Linked DNA regions of Tribolium castaneum. Each later gene encodes a partner of the first gene's protein in a complex. Links are inferred from orthologs where the notes say so. Each region holds a gene or a part of one and is shown in the gene's direction. Other genes may lie near its edges.

Region 1 (2,883 bases):
TTTCAACGAACAGGTCGGCTCGGATCTACCGGAAACTATCGAACAAGAACTTAAACAACTAAAAAAGAGAGTCAATGACATGTAGATTTATTCACAAATCTCACTTCAAACATTTATTGCAATTGATAAATGTAACTACTTTTTAGGCTTAGTTTTGTATCAAAGTATTTTATAAGAGATTAATTTTTTATACAAGTTTTATCAAAGGTATTCTAAATAAATACTTTCAATTTACAAGTTCTTTACTTTGTTATTTAACTTAAAATTATGCTTAGTCATTTCAGAAGAAACCGGAAAATTATCACACATGTTTTTTAAAAAATCTTTATTATAAACAGATTCATGATTTACATAAATCAATAAATAAAATAAATAAATGCTTCAGGATTTAGTCTTGAGTATTTGAAAAAATTAACTTTGATCCTTGACCTTTCTACCCATAGATAAAGGCGTAAACGTACTTTTACTAGGTGGAGGATTCAATTTACTCGTGATATGAACAAAAGGCTCATATAACGTAATTCTGTGCATTGCAGATGCCGTAAAATGCCTCAATTTCTCTCTATTGCACCAGGCCGTGGCTTTACTCAACGTAGAGTCAAATTCCGTATTTTCAGTCTCTTTAAATTTATTTCCTATCACAATTATAGTAACCTATAATATCAATAAATAAATAAGAGTCATTTTTTTAGTTGGACACACCTCTTTTTTATCTTTATTCTTATCAATGTCCTTCTTGAGTGACACTAACATATCAAGTGATTCTGATTTCTCGGTATCATAAACTAAAATATAACCGTCAGCAATCGCCAAATAGTGTCTGGGGAGCTGCTGGTTGGTGGTTCCACTAGCTGTGGCCGTTTGGAGCGGTTCAAGGCCCGCAGTGTCATAAAAACGAACTTTTTCTCTTGTGCCTTTATCCGACTCAATATTAGCGACGTAAATGTCTTCAATAGTAGAATGTAACTCCTAGAAACCCCTCATTTAGTAAATCTTCAGCATTAGGACTGTGATACATACACTCTTCGAGGTTATATTACCGTAAATGACTTGCTCCAAAACTGCGGTTTTACCGACCCCTTTCATGCCGCATATCACTACTTTTGATGTTTTACCCATTTTGGGGCTGCCTGGAGTATTGTTTATTTCAAAACGTCAAATTTGACACCTGTCGTTGTCACAGGTGACATTGACAAACAAATACCAACGTATCAAAAAATTATTAATCATAAAATTCGCAAAAACCAAATGTTTGGATTTATTATCGATTATTTTGATACTTGATCAGTTCATTGTGCGCAATTAGTGATTGTAAATTGCTTAGCTAACTCGATTACGTGTCAATAAATGCGCAACTATTTTTTCGGTTTGTTGGCTATCCTGCTTTTCGCTGTTCTAATTCCTAACCTCAAACGTGACGAGAACAAATTTGAAAATTCCGGCAAAATGGGCAAAGAAAGTAAAAGTAGTGAAGACAAGTACTCGATTTTACTACCAACATACAACGAAGTGGAAAACTTGCCGATTATCGTATGGCTGATTGTAAAATACATGGAAAAGAGGTGGGGCTTTTATTGCTTCTCTTCCCATTTTTAAAGCCACGTTTTAGTGGATATAATTACGAAGTAATCATAATCGACGATGGAAGCCCCGACGGGACGCAAGATGCCGCCAAACAGCTCCAAAAAATTTACGGCGAAAATAAAATCTTGCTAAAACCAAGAGAGAAAAAGCTGGGACTGGGGACTGCTTACATCCACGGAATGAAACACGCCAGTGGCAATTTTATTCTTATTATGGATGCGGATTTGAGCCATCATGTAACATGCATATTTTTCGTAAATATTACCTAATAGAAAAATTTTAGCCTAAGTTTATCCCACAATTTATTGAAAAACAAAAATCAAAGGATTATGATGTAGTCTCGGGGACGCGTTATGTGGGCTCTGGTGGTGTTTATGGTTGGGATTTTAGAAGAAAATTGATTTCAAGAGGAGCCAATTTTCTAACACAACTTTTACTAAGACCTGGGGCCTCAGACTTGACTGGTTCTTTCAGATTGTACAAAAAAGATGTTTTAGAGAAGTTAATCAAAAGTTGTGTTTCAAAAGGTTACGTTTTCCAGATGGAAATGATTGTGAGGGCGCGCCAATTTAATTATACCGTCGGGGAAGTCCCTATTACTTTCGTTGATAGGGTTTATGGGGAGTCTAAGCTTGGGGGCTCAGAGATATTTCAATTTGCTAAAGCTTTGCTCTATTTGTTTGCCACCACATAATTTTATATTCTGCATTCCAATAATTATTTGAAATAATAAATGAAACATTTATGTATGTTATTTTTTAATAAAAGTGCTTCTATGAAATATTTAAATTGTTTTTTATTAATATTGAATTGAAAAACATGTGACCGTGACACAATTGCCACTAGCGCCACCCTATCAATCCGTGTCGACTTCCCCAACTAGCGATCATATGACATTTGCCTCAATTCAGGTGTACTCGTACTCCGATTTCGTGGTGAATTTTGAGTGAGAATGGCAAGTCAAACCCAAGGAATCCAGCAACTCTTAGCTGCGGAGAAGAGAGCGGCTGAAAAAGTGTCAGAAGCCCGCAAACGTGAGTGTTTTTTGCGAAAAAAGCCCAAACATGAATCGCAGTGGGCGTTCATGTTTGACAGTCACGAGTTCTCAATTGTTTTACAGGTAAGGCCCGAAGGCTCAAACAGGCCAAAGAGGAGGCCCAAGATGAGATTGAAAAATACCGCAAGGAACGCGAACGCCAATTCCGCGATTTTGAGGCGAAACACATGGGCTCTAAAGAAGGGGTTGCTGCCAAAATTGAGGCGGACACCAAACAACGAATTGAGGAGATGAACAAAGCT
Region 2 (2,301 bases), on another chromosome or scaffold:
GATTGAAAAAACAGAGTGATATTTATAATAAAACGGAAAAGAAAAAACAACAAGAATTTAAAGCATCAGACAACCAAAAATTTATTCACATTGTCACCAACTGTCTTATTGTTAGAACAGAATTTATTTGCAAATTTCTCCAAGTCATATAATTTAGTTTTAGAGAGATTGAGGCCACGTGATTATAATCACGTTTTGTTGCACATTTATTTGCATAATATTGACATTGAATAGAAAGTAAATTTTACCAAGCATTAAATTTAGAGTTGGATTGGAACCAAAGAAAGAAAAAATAATTTTCACTTTTGTTTAAAAACACGAGCCTGAGAATAAAGGAAATAATTTGGTAAATAAATCACCAATGGCGCAACAAGAATTTTAACAGTGAAATGTTTTTTGTATTCAAAAGAACGATTAGATAAGCAGCTAATACTTGCGTCGCTTACCTACAATTATTTATAACTTATCAGTTATATTAGCTAACGCACAATTCAAGGCTTTACTCTATTATTCGCAACAAAAAACTCATTGAATCACGTGCACGACTTGAGTGAAAATGGGCAAAAATCAAACTTGTTGACTGAAAAATGAAACAAACAGATAAAAATCGAACCACATACTTCCGGTTGTACCCAAACATGGCACAAAATCACAACAACCACCGACCCAACATTGTGAAAAATCGCACTGAAGTGTCGGTGAAAGTAAATCCGCTCTTTGCTCTCATTATTTGAGTGAAAAGCGACCTCGAATTGATTCAAGGTTCGGACTTACGCTTCAAGCCTGACGTACTGGGGCTTCGCCCCTCTGAGCGCCTTGAACATGTTGCCACCACTTGCCAACACTTATTGAACCACTGCATATCTAATCTTAAAAAACGTAATCTTGTCACTTACCGGATCAAGTAATAATTCCCTTCGGGTATTGTAACGTCTACAAATGACTGGTCTGGAGGGATTTTCACCGTGGTCCCGTCAATCCTCTGGATCTGCGCCCTGAGCGTGTCCAAATCCCTGGCGCTGCGCTTGCCCCCATCTGGAACCCCAAACTGTCTCAAAACCGCCAAATCGCGCCCCTGGAAGCTCACCTTTGGGCACAAAGCGCACTGTACTCAGTTCCATTGTAATTATTTCAAAATTTCTATTGTTTACTCAAGTCTTTGTTGTCAGAGGCATTGTTTATCGAGTCGTGCGAATTCGAGTCGTCCCGTGCTCTTATCATCAACGAGTGATTTTTTTTAATTATCGACAATTTTGGGAAATTCTTTCAAATTTTGACAAAAATAGCCAAACTTTTGGCAGATGTTTCCTGGGGACTTTTCATTTTTGCACCAACATAACCTAACATGACGAAATTACTTGAGTGGGTGGCCGTTTTGGGGGCTTTGGGGGCCGTGTGGCTGTCTCTAGTGACGAACACGGTCGAGTTTGGTTTCGTGAGGCAATACCCCACTGCCGTGTTTTATTCCCCGGTTATTTTTGTCGGTTTATTTGGGGTGAGTCAAAGTGAGGTTATGTGAAACATTTTCACTTTTTTGTAGATTTACGCAATAATTGTTGTTTTGTATCGTGTTTTTACGTTCAATGATTGTGAGAAAGCCGCCGCGGAGTTGCAAGAGGTAAATGTGTGGCCTTACTTTGTGTGTTTACCAAATTTTGTCTTTTAGGAGATAGTGGAGGCACGGGCGGATTTGGCCAAGTTAGGTTTCCGATTTAAATAAATTTATTACAAAAAACGGTAGTTATTCCATTCCCTATCACAATATTTACACGAAAACTAAAAATGCAAATTCGGGGGGCACGTACAAAACTGTTCATGGAGCACCCGACACGAAGGGTGCTCCACTAAATAATTTTCGATTGCGTCCTTTGTAATACTCGTATAGGTCACGTCTAACAATTCGAGTTCCAAATCCTTGATGTAATGTAGCGCCGTATTGGTAATCTTCTTGTACCCCCTTAAAGACAGTCGTTTCAACGGTACGGAAAAGTCCTTCTTGACTTCATCAAGATTCTCGATTTGTATGACGGGACAACCGCGGAAAAAAACCCTACGATAGTAGGGGGGCTCTTGCGGCGGTGAGGGGGCCCTCTCATTATCAGACTCATTTACCTCTTCTGGAATCGGCTGGAGGCCGCTAGGTCCGGGCAAAGCCTCATCAGCCTTTGGCTTCTTTTGCTGGGGCCCCTCCGATGTCTCCGTAAAACGTTTACGAATTTCGCGGGGCACCTCCTGGACGCGAAACTGTCTCACATTGACTTGTCGAGGATTGAGCCGAATACTACAAACCCAAATTATATT

What was found. The genes of interacting proteins can lie anywhere in the genome.
Region 2: Dpm1 (region 1) and Dpm3 share a complex: the UniProt entries of both Homo sapiens proteins name them as parts of the dolichol-phosphate mannose (DPM) synthase complex. The link is inferred for Tribolium castaneum from reciprocal best matches to the Homo sapiens genes DPM1 and DPM3.

What each region holds. Positions count from the first base shown.
Region 1 is NC_087396.1:17,388,785-17,391,667, forward strand, and holds Dpm1 (dolichol-phosphate mannosyltransferase subunit 1), read left to right. Parts: upstream 1-1,347; coding exon 1,348-1,562; intron 1,563-1,609; coding exon 1,610-1,820; intron 1,821-1,867; coding exon 1,868-2,278; 3' UTR 2,279-2,367; downstream 2,368-2,883. Other genes in the region: phosphoenolpyruvate carboxykinase [GTP], read left to right, coding at 1-85; kappaB-Ras (NF-kappa-B inhibitor-interacting Ras-like protein 2), read right to left, coding at 412-654, 703-969, 1,021-1,119; V-type proton ATPase subunit G, read left to right, coding at 2,537-2,618, 2,705-2,883. UniProt on the Homo sapiens protein: Transfers mannose from GDP-mannose to dolichol monophosphate to form dolichol phosphate mannose (Dol-P-Man) which is the mannosyl donor in pathways leading to N-glycosylation, glycosyl phosphatidylinositol membrane anchoring, and O-mannosylation of proteins; catalytic subunit of the dolichol-phosphate mannose (DPM) synthase complex.
Region 2 is NC_087401.1:8,499,662-8,501,962, forward strand, and holds Dpm3 (dolichol-phosphate mannosyltransferase subunit 3), read left to right. Parts: upstream 1-1,345; coding exon 1,346-1,495; intron 1,496-1,540; coding exon 1,541-1,618; intron 1,619-1,666; coding exon 1,667-1,720; 3' UTR 1,721-1,776; downstream 1,777-2,301. Other genes in the region: ATP7 (copper-transporting ATPase 1), read right to left, coding at 897-1,035, 1,088-1,121; uncharacterized protein LOC656609, read right to left, coding at 1,777-2,281. UniProt on the Homo sapiens protein: Stabilizer subunit of the dolichol-phosphate mannose (DPM) synthase complex; tethers catalytic subunit DPM1 to the endoplasmic reticulum.